2 linked regions of the Struthio camelus genome follow. The main gene of each other region encodes a partner of the protein of the gene in region 2 in a complex. Links are inferred from orthologs where the notes say so. Each region holds a gene or a part of one and is shown on either strand. Other genes may lie near its edges.

What was found. Proteins that work in one complex are often made in the same cells at the same time.
Region 1: the proteins of OPRK1 (region 2) and PDYN are in contact, whole or in part, in a cryo-EM structure (PDB 8F7W), measured with the Homo sapiens proteins. The link is inferred for Struthio camelus from reciprocal best matches to the Homo sapiens genes OPRK1 and PDYN. Residues at the interface, in NP_000903.2 of Homo sapiens: Thr111, Gln115, Trp124, Val134, Ile135, Asp138, Tyr139, Met142, Lys200, Glu209, Cys210, Asp216, Tyr219, Lys227, Val230, Phe293, Ile294, Glu297, His304, Ala308, Leu309, Tyr312, Tyr313, Ile316, Tyr320; in NP_001177821.1 of Homo sapiens: Tyr207, Gly208, Gly209, Phe210, Leu211, Arg212, Arg213, Ile214.

Annotation. Positions count from the first base shown.
Region 1 is NC_090959.1:18,143,528-18,151,521, forward strand, and holds the start of PDYN (proenkephalin-B), read left to right. Parts: upstream 1-4,983; 5' UTR 4,984-5,111; intron 5,112-5,953; 5' UTR 5,954-6,044; intron 6,045-7,295; 5' UTR 7,296-7,312; coding exon 7,313-7,435; intron 7,436-7,575; coding exon 7,576-7,994.
Region 2 is NC_090943.1:137,947,092-137,955,031, forward strand, and holds the start of OPRK1 (kappa-type opioid receptor), read left to right. Parts: upstream 1-4,932; 5' UTR 4,933-5,547; intron 5,548-6,064; 5' UTR 6,065-6,130; coding exon 6,131-6,390; intron 6,391-7,940. UniProt on the Homo sapiens protein: G-protein coupled opioid receptor that functions as a receptor for endogenous alpha-neoendorphins and dynorphins, but has low affinity for beta-endorphins.

The sequences.
Region 1 (7,994 bases), on a different chromosome or scaffold from region 2:
AATGCAAAGGGGGGGTGCTCGGGGGCTGTGCAATGCAAAGGGGGGGGTGCTCGGGGGCCGTGCAATGCAAAGGGGGGTGTTCCGGACTGTGCAATGCAAAGGGGGGGGTGCTCGGGGGCCGTGCAATGCAAAGGGGGGGTGCTCCGGGCTGTGCAATGCAAAGGGGGGGTGCTCGGGGGCCATGCAATGCAAAGGGGGGTGTTCCGGACTGTGCAATGCAAAGGGGGGGGTGCTCGGGGGCCGTGCAATGCAAAGGGGGAGTGCTCCGGGCTGTGCAATGCAAAGGGGGGTGCTCGGGGCTGTGCGGTGCAAAGAGGGGGGTGCTCAAGGGCCATGCCATGCAAAGGGGGTGCTCTGGAGCCGTGCAATGCAAAGGGGGTGCTCGGAGGCCATGTGGTGCAAAGGGGGGGGTGCTCTGGGACTGTGCCATGCTAAGGGGGGTGTTCTGGGCTGTGCAGTGCAAAGAAGGGGGGGTTCCTCCAGGATTGTGCAATGCAAAGGGGGGTGCTTGGGGGGCATGCCGTGCAAAGGGGGGGGTGTGCTCCAGGGCTGTGCAATGCAAAAGAGGGTTCTCCGGGGCCGTGCTGTGCAAAGGAGGGTGCACCAGGGCAGTGTAGTGCAAAGGGGGGGTGCTCTGGGCCATGCAGTGCAAAGGGGGCATGTACTGGGGCTGTGCAGTGCAAAAGAGGAGTACACTGGGGCCGTGCAGCGTAAAAGGAGGGCACACCGGGGTATTACAGCGCATGGCGGGGGGCAGGTGCCCCAGGGAGGCGGTGCAGTTTTGATCAGTGCACTAAGGAGGGGGGGTGTTGGTGCCCTGGAGAGGGGGGTGCAGTGTAAGGGAGTGGGAAGCTGTGCCGTGGTGGTGCATTGTAGGGGGTGCACTGGGAGCCTGTTCAGTTGCGGGGGGGTGTCAATGCACTGGCAGGGTGACCATGCAGTGCTAAGGGCTGGGATCGGTGCACTGGAGGCGGTGCAAGGAGGTGGTCAGTGCGCAGGGGAGAGGGGAAGCAGTGCAAGGGGATGCTGGATGCACCAGGGGGAGCGTGCAGTGCAGGGGGGGTCTGCGCATTGCAAAGGGGGGTCAGTGGAGCAGAGGGGGCTGTGCGTGCAGCAGGCTGTGCAGTGCACGGGGATCGGTGCAGTGCAAGGGGAGGTGCAGTTGTGGGGGGACATGTAGTGCAAGGAGGGGGTGCAGCAGCTTGTGCAGTGCAAAGGGGCTTCTGCAGCTTAGCCAGGTGCTGCGGGGCCCCAGCCCTGGTGAAGCCCCCTCCCCAGACCCAGCTCCCTGGGGTATTGCTGCAGGCGATTTCCAGCAAAAGCCCCCCTAGAAAGTCACTGAAACGCTGGGGCTGAAGCCTCGCTGCCCTCGGGGGCCAGAGGTTTTAGGGAAGCTAAAAACCGGGTGAGGACGAGCACTGTCCCCAGGGGTCCCCGCGCCCGGCTGGAGCCCTCTTGCCCTGCTCTCTCCCGCCATCCAGGGGCTTCCCGAGCGTGCGGTCGTGCTGGCCGGCCGGTCCCGGCGGTGGGGCCATGCCGTGGCTCCGCTCCGCGTTACTCCCGCTCCGCCTGGCCGTTTCCACCTCCAGGCACCCCCCGGCTCGAGCAGCGTGCGGTGGTGGGTTCATTTACCCCGTGCACGTGCGCATCGCGCACCGCCGGGACCGGGGCTCCACCATGCCACCCAGCCCGCCGGCGCTTGGCTGTGCCGCGCCGGGAGAAACGGCGATGGCGCCCCGTCGCAGCAAGCACCGCGGCGGGGCCGGGACCGGCCGGGGCGCCTCGTCCCGGGGAGCAGCGCGTGGGCGTCGCGGCCCCTCTCCGGCAGCCCCCGCGGCCACGCGCAGCCCCGCGTGCGCGGTGCGAGCAGCAGCGCTAAGCCGGTGCCGCGGCCTTGGCCCGCTTGCCGGCAGCGCGCCGCTCCGGGGGGGCTGCTTGTACAGAAGGACGCACGTCTGTTCCCGCAGGGTCGTTTTCCTGCCACGAAAACCGCCTGTTTTGTTCCAGCTGTTTTTTTCCGAGCCTCTTCTCTGCCCGCTTTGCCTCGCTCGGCGCAGGTGACGTTAGAGGCACTTTGCAGGCGGTCAAGGAGAGCGTCTGCAGAGCGAGTTTACGGAGGAGCTCTGCAAATCGCTCTTTGCTTGACTCACTTGCCAGGCCCGTGTTGAGAGCACGCGCCAGGCAGCAGCCGCGGCCCCTCCGCGCTGCCCAGAGCATCGCGCTGCCGGCGCGGAGACCCTGCGCCGGCCGGGCCCCGCGCGGCCGCCCGGTCCCTGCCGCCAGGCTGGCGCAGGAGGGGAAACGAGGTGCCCTGAGCGGCGGCGCGTGCATGCCAGGAAAAGCCTCTCCTCCGCCTAACATTCGGAAAATAAACTTTCTTATCTCATTCTCTCCCTGCAAGGCGACCTGTATTATCCCCGCGGATTGCCAGGGAGCGCTCGGCTTTGGGTCTCGTCCCAAAGCCGTTTGCACGGAAGACGCTGCCTGGTGCCGCCGGCAGCCGGCCGGGGTGCAGCCGAGAGCCTGGGCTGGGGCGCGCTGGCGGGGAGCGCAGCGGCCGCGCGGCTGGCTGCCTGCCCGCGCGCAGCGAGCGGGGCTGCCGGCGATCCTCTGCAAGTTTTTAAAGCTCGATTTGCTTTTCAGTGGAGCCACTTCACCGCCTGGGCTGGGAGGAGAGGGGGTCCTCGGCCGGGGGCAGCCCCGCGCGTTGCTGCGCGACGCCCGTTGTTTGCTCGGGCGCCGCTTTCTGCAACGGCGTCGAGTGGCCACTTGTGCTCGCTGCCCGTGTCTTTGTGCGCCCCGGTCGCGCCGCCGCGTGCCCACGCGCGTGCCCCTGGGCTGCGCGGCCGCCGGCAGGCAGGAGCCGAGCTCCCCCCGCGGCGCCCAGCCCGCTCCCCGCGGGGGCGATGCTGGGGAGCGGGCATCGCCCCGCGCGCCGGCTCTCCCGGGAGCGCGGTTCGCGCCTGGCCGCCTCCTCCCTGGGGCAGCCCGCGCAGCCTGCGGCCGTTTCAGGGCCACGAGGGTGAGCAAGCGATTTAATACCAGCCCTTTCTGGAAAAACGCCGTACGCCTGAATAGCGGGGAGCTGACCGGGCGCGATGGGAATTGCTCCACGCACCGCAGGCGGGCTGCTTCCCGCGGGCACTGCCTGCCGGGGCACCGGACCGCGCTCGCAGCGGCGCCGGGTCGCGCACCCGCTGCTCGGGGCGGCCAGCGAGCTCGCCCCTCCGAAACATGGGTGCAGGCTGGCTGGGGAGTTCCTTCCCTTCCCCTCTCCCTCCTGCTGGCTCCCACCTTGCCCGCGCTGGACGATGCTCTGCAGACGCCGGCAGGGCCAACGGAGCCGCTCTCCGCTCCGAGGCCAATGCGGGCCTCGAGGGCCGGGCTGCCGGGGGCTGCCGGGGGCTGCCGGGGGCTGCCGGGGGCTGCCGGGGCTCCGGGCACAGCCGGCCCCGCCGTGACAGGCGCTGCGTGACGGTGTCTGCCATTAACTCCCACCTGCTTTTGCGCCCGCCTGGTACTTGCGCTAGTCCCCCTCCTCTCCTCATCAGCTTTTCACTGATGTAGTTAAGAAAACTTAACTTTTCTATTACTGCACATTTCTCTCTCACCCAGGTGCTTAATTACCATTGTCCCAGGGAAATGTCAGCGTGACTCAGAGACAGTTTCCCATTAGGAAGCGGCAGATGAATATTAATTAAACCGGCTGGTGGGTGGGCTCACTTGGAGCTCCTTTCCCGAGGGGACCCTGCCAGCACCCCACGCCTGCCGGGCCTCGGCCGAGGACCCTCTCGCCTGGTTCAGGGAACCTGCGGCACAAATAGAAACGAAGAAGATGCCTCTGCTGCAGGGACAGGAGCAATTCCACCTCCCTGCCTCCCTGCCCAAAGGAAATCGTCTCTTATTAAGGAGCCTTATTACGAACTACCCTTACCTCTGTGCCCGCGGGGTTTTGCTTGGTCTCCCGAAGTGCGTTTCCCCCCGGTGCAATTACCCCGCTGCGGGCGCTGTGCAGGACGGGCGCCGACGGGGAGAACCGGGGAGGCTGCGTTTCGGGGGGAAACGCACTTCGGGGGGGGGTAGCTGATAGAAACGGGGGTTTCCTGGGTATAAAAAGTACCCGCTCGGCGCCTGCAGCCTCTGCTCGGCTCCAGCCGCCCCTTGGCCTGGCGGCGAGGACCGACCCTCGCCGAGGGATGCGCGCAGCCCCGGCGCGTCCCGGCGCGGCCGGTTGCAGCGTCTCCGGCTTCGCTCTGCATCCTCGCAGCGCTGCAAAGAGCGAGCGGGGCGGGTTGGGGGGGTCCCGTGCGGCCCCCGCCCCGGGCCGGGCGCTCCGTCCCCGCTCCGCAGCGCGGCCGGGCGCCCGCAGAGGCGGGGGGGGGGGGAGCCGAGGCCGGACCCCCCCCCCATTCCCCACCCCGGCAGCGCCAGGGCCTCCGGGTCCCGGGCAACCGGCGATGGAGCCGGGTTGCTGGGAAACATCCCTCTTGAGCGCCGATAAAAATAGCCCCGGCTGCAAGGCGAGAGGCCGGGCTGGGCGGCCGGCAGCGGCCGCGGAGCCGCTCGGAGCCCCCGGGCGGCTCGCAGGGGACGGGACGGGACGGGACGGTGCTGCACCCTGCTGCCGGCCCGACGTGGGCTGGGGAGCGGGGCTCCGCGGAGCGGGACGGCGAGGGGCCGGCGCAGCCCGCAGCCGCCGGGCCCAGGTTCCCCCGCCAGGCTGCGGGAGGGGGCTCGGGGCGGTGGGGCAACGGGAGCGGCGCGGCGCCCGGCGGGGGCGAAGGCGCTGCCGTCGGCAGCGGGGCCCGGCCGCCCCGTCGGCCCGGCGCGGGGGCTGCGGCGAGGCGGCCGCGGGGCTGGTTCTCGCCAGCCTCCCGCGCCCCGATTGGCTCCGCGGCGCCGGGCTGCGCTGGGGCCCCGCGGCAGGAGGAGACTCCGCGGCCATAAAAGCGGGACGGGAGCGGCGAGTCCGGTGGGTACCCGGCGGCGTCGGTGGTGGCATCCGCGCTCGGCGCCACCGCCGCCGTCGACGCCTCGAGCGAGAGGGCGGCACGCGGGGCGGCGTGCGCCCGGCTCGGCCGACGGACGGCCAGCATCAGCGGCGGCGGCAGGTAGGGCCGCGGGTGCCCCGGGGCGGCGGGCTCGGGGGGCGCGGGTGGTGGCGTCGCCCCGGGTGCACGCACGCACGCACGCGTGGCACGGCACCGCGCGCCCTGACTCACCGCCTGCAGCTGGGGTATCGCTTCTGCTGTTTGCCGGAGTGACTCAGTTTGTTTAAAAACATCCCCGGGGCGCCGCGCCGGGAGCATCTCGCCGCCGGGGTTTTCTGTGCGCGAGCGAAGCCGGTGCTCCCGCGGCGCCGCAGGTGCTCGTTTCGTCCCTCGAGCTGCTCGGTAGCCGGCGAGCCTCCGTAAATAGCTCCGCGGCGGCTCGTCGGGGTGCCGTTGCTGCGTCTTTCTGCCCTTTCGGGGGGAGAACGCGTTAGCTGGAACGAGCCGGAGTCCGGAGCGAAACGAGAAGGGAGCAGCAGATAAGTGACGGGGAGGATGCTCCTGCCTTCCCGCACCGGCATCGTCGGGGTTTGCTGCGGTTTTGTTCAAAAAGTCATTGTCTGTTTCTGAGCAAACGTTGCCCTGAACGCGTTTGCAGGTTGCTCTTAAGGAGAAGAGAACGGCTGGAAGGCGACGTTCTTCCCTGGCAGAAATGCCTGTAGGGTCCCCAAACTGTCTCAGGGAGACCTCGGTGGGAGGGGACCGCCCGGGGGCGCGATGCGCGCTGGCTGTCGGCGCCAGCGCCGCTCCGGAGGGAGCGATCCCGGAGCCCTCGCGGGCAGCCCCGGCCGGTGCTGGTGGTGAGGACGGGTCTCCGTCCCCGTCGCTCCCCGCGGGGACGCGGAGCCCTGCCGGGCCGGGCCGCGCCGGCGCCGACGGAGCCTCGCCGCTGTCGTCTCTAGGAGCTGCTAAAGCCGTGCCGAAGCCTCTGCGGCCGGAGGGACCGCCGCGGGACGCGCGCCCGAGCGACGCTCGGCCTCCGGCTCCGTGCAGGTAACGTCGTGTCGCTCTCCAGCTCCCTTCGCCTTCCTCCTTCCTTTCTCCAGTTCTTTCCCCGCCCCCCTCTTTGTCTTAGACCTATTATTTTTTCTCCCCTTTTTCTTGTCCCATTTTTTCTTGCCCGTCTCCCCCCTCCCTCGTGGAGCAGGAGGGCGGCAGAGCTCGGCCGGACCAGGTACGTCCCTGGCGCAGCCCTCGGCCCCTCCGCGCCGGCAGAGCCGCGGCTCGCCGGGCTGACGGCATCCGAGAAGCCGGGGCGCCATCGGCAAATGCCGTCCGGCGGGCACGGATGCTCCCGGCCGCTCCGGCTGCCCCCTCCTCGTCCTGTTAATCTCGGTTTCCCGCGGCGTTGCAGCGGGCGCCTCCGCGGCCGGCCAGCCCTCGCTGGGGCATCGCTGCCCCGCGGCGGACGGCAGGGAGCTCGGGGCCGGGACGCCCACGCCTGGCCGTCCCCGCGGCGGCTGCCGGGCTGCGCTGCCCAGGAATACCACCTGCATGTCGCACACGGCGGTGCGGATAATTCCGATTACATTTTAATTCAGCATGAATTAGTACGGTGGCATTAACATTTCTTCATCAGCGCCAATTACAGTGCATTAGCAGATACAGCCGGAGAATACAACAGTCTCTAATATGCGTCACTGCCGTGCAATAGCTTCCTCCGGGTCGGGCCTTTGCACCCGAGGTGGCAACGGCGGCGGCGGCCGGCTCCCGCGGGGCCTGGCGGGAGCGCTCAGCTCCGGGGCCGCCGCGGCCGGCACCGGCCGCAGCCCCGTCCAGCCTGGCTGGGGGTGTTTTGGGAGCGCCGGCGGTGGAGGATGCTGCCGCGGTGGAGGATGCTCCGGGCCGCCGGGAGCGGGGCAGAGCGGCCGGCGGCGGGCGGGCGCCTGGCGCTGGGTCGCCCCGGTGCAGCCCCGGGTGTCCCGGGCCTCGGCTGGCGAGCGGCTCCGGAGCACCATGTTTTTCTTCTCCGAGGCCGAGGGGGAGCTGCTGATGCATCCTCGCCATGCCGCCCCGGACGCGGCGATGGCAGCAGCGCTCAGAAACGTGGTGCTAAAAAACCCAAAACAAATGGCACGCGAGAGGCGTTAGCGGAGAGGGGGCGGGGGGGCTCGCCAGCCTGCCGGGGCCCAGGTGTCCCGGTGTCCCCAGGAGCCCGGCTCGGGGCTGGGGCCGTGCAGCCCCAGCGGGGTTCGCCGGGCGGCGGTGGCAGCCACGGGCCGCACGTGCTGTCTCGCCCCCCAGGCAGCGCTGTGGGCGGCATGGAGCGGCAGGCGCTGGCGCTGGCTCTCTGCCTGGCGCTGGCGGCGGCGGCGGCGGCTACGGACTGTGCGACCCGGTGCTCTGCCTGCACCCCGGACTCGGCAGAGAGCATCTGGCCCCTGGTGAGTGCCGGCGCCAAGCAGCCGCTGGGCTGCAAAACAGCAGCGGGCGCCCGGCGGGCACGGTCGGGGCTGGGAGCGGGGGGCGTCCCCGGGGCAGCACCGACCCGACGGCGCCGGGCGCCCCGGCCGCTGTCTTGCAGATGTGTTTGCTGGAGTGCGCGGGCTCCTGGCCGCCCGGCGCCGCCTGGGAGGCGTGCAGCAGGGCGCTGGCGCTCCCGGCCCCGGCGGAGGCGGCGGGTGAGGACGAGGCGCTGCCGGAGCTCGGCCCCGGGGACCTGGCCAAGCACGGCGGCGGCGGGTTCCCGAAGCAGCTGGAGCCGGGCGAGCTCCTCTCCCTGCTGCGCCGGAGGGCCCCCGGCCCCGGCAGCACCACGTACGGTGACGGCGGCGGCGAGCGGGTGCAGGACTACCCCACGCCGGAGCCCGGGCCGGCGGGTGCCGGCGGCGAGGAGCCCCCGGGCAAACGCTATGGGGGCTTCCTGCGCACCTACCCCAAGCGGCGCTTGGAGGCGGCGGCCGCGGGCGCCGGGCAGGAGCTGGCCGAGCTGCACAAGCGCTA
Region 2 (7,940 bases):
CTACAGCTCTGGCTGATTTTCTGAGCATCAACTGAGTTAACTAATAGGAAGAGATGAGCAGGGGAAAGTGAAAGGGAGAAAGACAGAGGGAGGTTCAGCCTTTCCCACTCTGCCCTGGAGGTAGTAGTGGCTGGCATGGTCACCTGGTGCAGGCACAACCTCCTACTCAGAGAGCTAATTCACCCTTCTCTTATCACAGCACTTTTATGTTTAAAAAATTAATCATGTATGAACGAAGATGCCAAAAGCTAGGACACACAGGTGGGAAAGGAGGCGGGAGGAGTGAGGTTTTATGTGGAAAATTTGAGTTCTTTTCTCTCACTTGAGCTATGTCACTTGTTTTCATGCTGATTCTTGCTTCTGCCGGCCATCAGGAAAAGCAAACACACAATTCTAAGCCTGAAGCAAAGAGGATTAAGATTGGATATAATTAGCACATAACTGGCATGTGATTCTTACCTCCAGAAAATGAATCTTCTTTCTTCCCTTTGCAGTAAAGGTAAGGAGAAGGCTTTCCAGGAGCTTGTGCTCTTTGGGGAGAAATTAGTGCCCATCCCACATAATCTGCTAAGATCTTCCCAAAAGAAATAACCAGAATAATGTTAAAGTGACTTTTACTTATGCCCATAAAGTGGCATCGACAGTGTGGTGTGTATCAGAGCAGAAGCTGAATGGAAGTTGGGGTGGTATTAGCTGATCCCCGTTCCCTCCCCGGAGCGGTGTATCAGCTGCTGACAGTACTGTGCTGTTGCCAAGCCATGCTTTAATCGCTGGGCAGCCAAATTACTGTGAAAGGTGATCAACTGATAGTGCTTCACCAGAGAAGGAGCTATAAATAATCATTAGTAAACAGTAATTAGAGACACTTTAGGATCAGGTAGTTTTTTTTTTTTTGTTAGGTAAGACCTGGACTATAGATCTCTGAGGATCACTACAATTTTCCCCTTTAGAGAGGCACTAAAAATTCTCCACCAGGTCGCTGTCCGGCCACTCTCCGTTTGCTGGTGTCCCCTCTGGGAGCCCTTTCTGCCGTTCGCTCTGGAAAAGCAAGGAACCGTAGCAAACCTCCAGCTAGGGGCCTTGACTAGACGAAACGTAAGGAAGAAGGTGAAGAGCTTTGACCTGCTTGGACAGTTTTACCGTTGCTCCCGAGACGCGGCCCTGTGCCTTACCACTAGCGATCCCGGCCGCGCTGCCAGGGTGCTGCAGGGCCGGGCCCGGTCGGGGAAGGACAGCGGGGAGCCGAGGTGGCCACCGCCGTCCCGATGACGGTGACCGAGGCCATCCGCAGCCCAGCGGCTGCCGGAGGAGCCCGCAGCAGTGGGGCAGGCCCGCGGGGGAGCCGGGCAGCCCAGGCCGCGCCATGCCGGTGGCCCCGCATGGGCCTGGCTGCCGCCACACGGCACGGGAATAATTATTCCATCTACCTTCCTGCCCTCCTTTTTTTCCCCTTCCTTCCCCTTGCTGGCCTTTGAGGCGGATAAGACATAACGTTTCCCAAGAGCTGCGCTCAGGCGGGCAGCTAGGGTTTCGGGATGCGCAGAGGCAGGAGGACTTTGTTTCCCTGGCAACTGCGACCGCAGGAAAGCTCTTACCGCATCTCCTCCCTTTACGCCGGGGTGCTATAATTGTAGCCTGTGGTCAACCAGGTAGCAAAAATAACTATGGAACGACCTGAAAAAAGGATTTGATAGCCTGCTCCGCTTAACTCGTCTTGCCTCCCTCCCCATCTCTAGAATAAAAAGCGACCTTTGCGCACGATCCCCCGTCAAAATACCCAGCGTCACAGTTCGTGGCTGAACTTCAAGGTTTGCCCTGTTCTGGCAATTTGACTTAAGCCTTGAAAGATGCCGTGGTCTTTCGGGGAACAGCACTGGGGACCAAGCAGCTTCCGCGCAGCAGCGGCAGTGCGCGGGCACGGGAAGGGTACAGGGGGCCCCGCTGCAGCACCCCGCGCGGCTGCCGCACAGCACCGTGCCAGTGATTCAGTGCGTTTCGTTCGTAGCTCTGAGTCAGGGCTGGAGTAATGTCCCAGGGCATTGCTAAGGTTTTGAAGCACTGTGCTGATGGAGGAACAGCTTTTTAGCTTAGACATTGGTAATGAAGAGAAAAAAAAAAAGTCGAAGCCCTTCCCACCTGATATTTTAAAATATCCTACATCTCCCTCCCGCCATGTTCCCTATTCAATCAGGGAATTTCACTAGGCATGCAGAAGGAAGCACTTTATAGCACTTCTACCTAAATGTAGCAATATTACGTAGCTGACCTGTGAATGTGGAAGGGATTCTCGGGAAAAAAACGGTATGGTTGTGTGAATGCACTTGCATTGTTCTGCCTTAGCTATAGGACCGCTGAATGTGGTATTTCTTTACCTTTGAGGGCTAGAATTTACAACATAAGGAATGTTCCTTAAATACAGAATCTGATATGGAATTTTATTTTTTTAATGGGAAAAAACGTCCAGGCAAAGTCCAGTGAGGTGAACTCTGAATCTCCAGTATTGCCATGAAAAAATCTGGGGGCATGTGAGTCCCAGATCTGCAAAATCAGTGTTGCAGCAAAGTTGTAGCTGAGTGGCTGAGATACTGTGCTCTTATGCTGTCTTTTTTCCCAAAATCGTTCCTTGTCTTCTTTTGAAAGAACAGGATCTGCTGTCTCACATGATCCCTCAGAGGAGAGAAGAACTTCTGGGAGAGTACTGGTGTGTGGACAAACTGGGCTATGTTGACTGCAGACCTTTTCTTTCTCTTCCCTCATGAGTTCAGGACACTCCTGTCCTCCACCCCAGGACTATCAGAAAGGATATAACGGCGCTGAATGATTATCTGTTGAAGAAAATGAAGAAGATGGGTAAGCATGATTCTTTGTCCTGGGTTTTTCTTTTGATACTACTGCAAGCATTTCTAGTACGTATGCTGAGCCCAGTCACTACTGGTAACCCAGTTATATCAATTTTCCTCAAGAATGCAAACATAAATAAGCGAAAGATTATTTTTGTCAGTTTATATGAATTTCACTTGACTTTCAAAGGAAAAGGCACTTCTCTAGACCAAGGGCTCCTTCCTCTTGAATTGCAAAGGCCTAAAATAAATGATAGCTGGAGCTGAGCCTCTCACATGGAGGATACAGAGACAGAAAGCACAAGGAAACATATATTGTCTTTGGCTTGCCCTGTAATTTGCAGTGTCCTGGCCAAAGTCCACCTTATTCCACGCCCATTTATTTGCAACACACCCTTACTCCACTAAGGGGCAGCGATTGTGCTGTTAACACATCGTTTTAGATGCGATCACTGAAGAGTTTCAGTGCAGAGTTTAGCAAGAGAAAGCTAAAGGTCAGAACTATACTGTCCAACTTCAAAAAGCTTTGAGTCTACTGTTGTGCTTGAAAAAGCTTTGACTCTACTGTTAATTAATCATACTAAGTTTTTCAGGCCATCTCCAGTTTAGATTTATGCATAGCAGTAATAGACTTTTCTTCCCCATATGGATGTTTCTGATCCACCTGTAGCAACTGGAGAATTGCAGACTGCTGCTGCTGCTTTCTCCCTCTCCAGAATAACCCGTAAAATCCATTTCATTGATTAAATAGCTATATTGCAGCTGTGTATGGTTGCACTTAAGGTACTTCCCGAAACAAAATAATTGCTCATAAGAAATGGATTATCAATGAAGGCTAAAAATATTGCTATCTTATGGCTCTCCGGTATATTTTAATTCCAGAATATGAAGAAGTCCAGGGAAAATGTTATAAAGAAGATAGCAATTGCCAAATTGTTCCACGTATGAGATGAAGTAGCAGTAATAATTCCTTTCAGTACTTTTGCAGAGGCCAATGGATTGCAAGGGAAAAAAAAAACAGGACAGGGATCTGTCCATTTTGTGTTAGGGTCTTGTTTTGTTTTCCAAGAAACTTTTATTTTCTTAGGTCTATGTTCAATCCTTAAAATGTATTTGGCTTAGGAATGCTTTTGTTGTATGTTTGCTGTCTTGCACTTGTTGACAACCTCAGCAAAGGTTAAACTTTTAAACAGCTCTGTACAGACGGTAGTAAGCAGATGCTGTAACATACAAGTCTGTTCTGGACAAAGCAGTGGCCAGACTCAGAGCCACCACCACCTTTAATCTTGAGCGTCTGCCTCAAAAAGAAAGGATCTGGATATTTTAAGTTTTCTTCATGACTTTCAGCTCTGCAATAGACATTGCAGTTTCCTTTTTCTCATCTTGATTATAGGCTTCGAAAGAAAAAAATGTTTTAAAAATAGAAACTTCAGCCTGATCACAGAGGCTCTACAAAAGGAACATGAAGTAAAGTTTCTACATAAAATAAGGATGAAGGATACCCACAACATCTTCTCTGGCCTTCTGAACTTCACTAAAATACACAGAAATGCCTGGCAGTCTGCTCTGGCCTGCAGAGACCTGATTTCTGCAGTGTGTTTTGACATGCAGCCAGTCTGGCTATATCCCACCTCTTCTAGGGGAGTGGAAACTACTTAGGTCCTTTCTCACCTCTCCAATTTGGCATTTAGAGGGAGTTCTACTGGGAATTTCAAGGCCCGCATGTGAACGAAGAGGTTCTGTACACAGATTGGGATGCCAGCCCCTGCGTGATGGGCTATTAGCCCGTGAGCTATGTGAGCTATATAGCTCTGAAGGGTTTGATTTCTGCACACGCTGACCCTCCATCCCCAGCCACAGTTGGTGTACAGAGACAGCAGATCTCTGATGGTGGAGTTTCTTGTGTGGTGCAAAATGGGATTCTTGGCTTCCAAAACAGTACAAGACAGTTTGAATTAACTACGGGCAGCAACTGGGGTTCCTTCAGCTGTTCCTGGCTCTCTCTCTCTCCTTTAGTAGCCACCTTCTGACATCCTTCCAGGTTGTAAGTGTGAAGGAGCACAGCACAGCTACCCAACTAGAAGTGGTCTGAGTATGCAATTATGAAGCTGAGTCACAAAAGAGCTGATGGACCAGCCAAGGAATCTAAACGGAAAATTCCTGTTTTATTCAGCATCTACTAGTCCACAAATCATGAGGGATTCAGAAAGGTAGGAGGGAACATTGCTTGAGGCCTAGGATGCAAGGGGAATGAGGAAAGGCAATTTGGAAAGTGTATACAAATTATGCATTCATTTATTGTAGAACTTATTTCTTGCTTTTCTTTTAATTTGTCTGCCTCTCAGTGTTTAGACAGAAGTCATGTGAGCTTCTGAGCTGCAAGCATGGAGACAGAGTAGAAATGTGTGCATTAGTGCAGAGTGCTGCTGGAGCCCTAGCAGAGTAAGAGAGAGGCAGAGAGAGAGAGTGTGAGAGTGAAAAGGGGTAGTGGTGGGAGCTGGAACAGCAGCAACTGCTGCTACCACATCGCAGCTTGTGCCTGGGAATCAGCTCCATTGCCAGCACATTCCTCCGTCTCCAGAGGTGCAGATGCCGCCGGTTCAAAAGTCCTAGAAGATCCCTGGCACTGCCAGGAGCTAAGCAGGTGCTTTTTCTGCTGCAAAGAACATCTGTCTGGGGACTTTGCTCCTTTGCTGGACTGAAAGAGGTATTTTATGTCATTAATGTGTGTCTTTTCTGAAAGCAGGTGTGGGATCTGAAAGAAAATAACTCAGGGAAGGATGTCAAAGCAGATATGGAGAAAGGTGGTGGGTTTTCCTCTCTCTTCTCCTATTTAGGAGAGCTAATGCAGTAAGGAGCCCCAGTCATTAGGATACTGTTTGACTAAAAATATGGAGGATGGGAGAGAGAGGGTTAAAGCGCGGGGGTGGATTGAAGCTGTTTCCCATCTGCACGATATCTCTTCTAATTGTTTCTCTGTGTAATCTCTGAAAGTGGAGGAAAACTTTCCTTGTGCATCTGAAGGAGCAGAAGTTACCAAATATATATCAAGATTTGAAACTTGTATTTATTTACTCCAAATATGGTTTGCTCAAATCTCTGCCTGGCAAACTACAGTTCCTGCCACAACAGAACCCTCCTTAATATATACAGATTTTTAGTGTCTTAATGTCCAGTGGCTGTGATATCACTTCTATTTCATTCCCTCTTTTCTGTCTTTCTAGTGTACTTGCCTTCTGCTGTCTGCACTCTTGTCCCAGCCTCTCTCCTGCCCGTGGGGCCGTGGCCGTATGGATGCCCCCGTGCAGATTTTCCGGGAGGAGCCAGGCTCCACCTGCTCCCCCGGGTCCTGTCGCTCCCCCAGCACCAGCAGCAGCTGGCTCCTGGGCTGGGAGGACTATGAGAGCAACGCCACCGGGGCCTTTGGGGACGCCCAGCACAACCACACCAGCATCTCCCCCGCCATCCCCATTATCATCACTGCTGTCTACTCAGTAGTCTTCGTTGTTGGCTTGGTGGGAAACTCTCTGGTCATGTTTGTTATCATAAGGTAAGGGGAAACGGCTTTGGAGCCGCAGTTGAAAGAAATGCACATGATAGTCCTGAAATTTGTTGGGGGGGAGGGGAGGGGAAATAGTTGTGGCCCAAGAAAGCTTTCTGGGAGTGCATAAATGAGGAGCTGGTAAAAAGTAACTGGAATGAGCTCAGATGTTTTCACTCGGAGTAGTTTGTCTGGAAGTGCAATTAGAAACAGAAGGGAGAAGCTGGTTAAAAGTGATAAATCCTGCAGCCTGCAGGAAATGTGCTATGTGCCCTGGAGCTGTGTTCGTTAGGTGCCCTCTAGGGATGAGTCTGCGGTTGTCCAAGGGAAAGCTGGAGTGGAAGAAGAAAGCTTCCACTTCCAGCTGCAAGACAGCTTTTCCCTGCAAGGAGTCCTGTAGAGAGCAGGATGGTTTATGTATCTAGTCTTGGGAACGCTAATATATTGCTGCCTTGTCATCTAGCAAGATGAGAAAACTGTAAATGATAAAAACATGTGGAAATGCTCAGTGTAAAGCAAGGGATGTTATTGCTCTGTTTAGTATATTTAAACTCCAGTTGTTGCTGTTTGCTTGATAAAAGTAAAGTAGATGCTGAGAGAGGTCTATATTTCATGTTATTTCTCAAGAAATAGGAAGAAAGCTATGTATCTGCACTAGTAAATTTTTCACATTAAGCTACTTAGTGAAATCAGCCCTACTTGTACTTACATTTACACTTGTGTGTTCTTGTATATTTTAGTTTGCACTCTCTTTTTGTCCTTTCCAGTTGCAACTTATAAAAATGTTCTGGGTAGTGCAGATTAGCAGAGTGATAGTGAGCTACAAAGAAGACTGAAATCATTCAACTTTTTGGACTCCTGCTTCACATTCTATATAAAACTTGCAAAAAAATCTGAGAAAATAATTCTATAGATTGTTCATTGCTTAAATGAAACCAGCTTTTACACAAGAAGGAAACTGGAGGTATTGAAAGATATATTACGAGTTAAGCATGCATGGTAAGGGTCAAGCAACTGCAGCATGGTGAGATATCCTGTCAGACCTGATATAGCGGGATGCTAACTACACTGGAAACAAAGATCAGTTATACCCAGGGGAATGCTCTTGAAAAATGGAAATAAAATCCTCTTTAAAAATCAGTCTAATGAATAAAGGTGCCTGTGGTCAATGTGGAGGTTTGCTTTGGCTTTATGAGGCTGTAATTTTTATACTCTTCCATATTGCTTTACCCATTATACGGAGTAGAGATTTCATTTCTTTTTGTATATATTTTGCAAGAAAAGAGACTCCGTACTTGACACACTCTTATCCCAGCTGCAGAGGCAGAGTTTTTCTAAGCCATCTGTCATTAACAATGATAGTGTTAATTAACTGCTCCTGGGCGGTGGAAATAAATTCAAACTTAGTCAGAGCTCTGAAAGTTATCTCTCATGGATTATACAGTTTTTATGCATTTCCTTTTTCCTCTCCTTCTTTTACCATCCTAAGATTATTTTTGTGAGGGTCCAGCTAACTGTGGCTCCCTTTCCTACCAGTCCCTGCCTTAGGCCTTTATTAT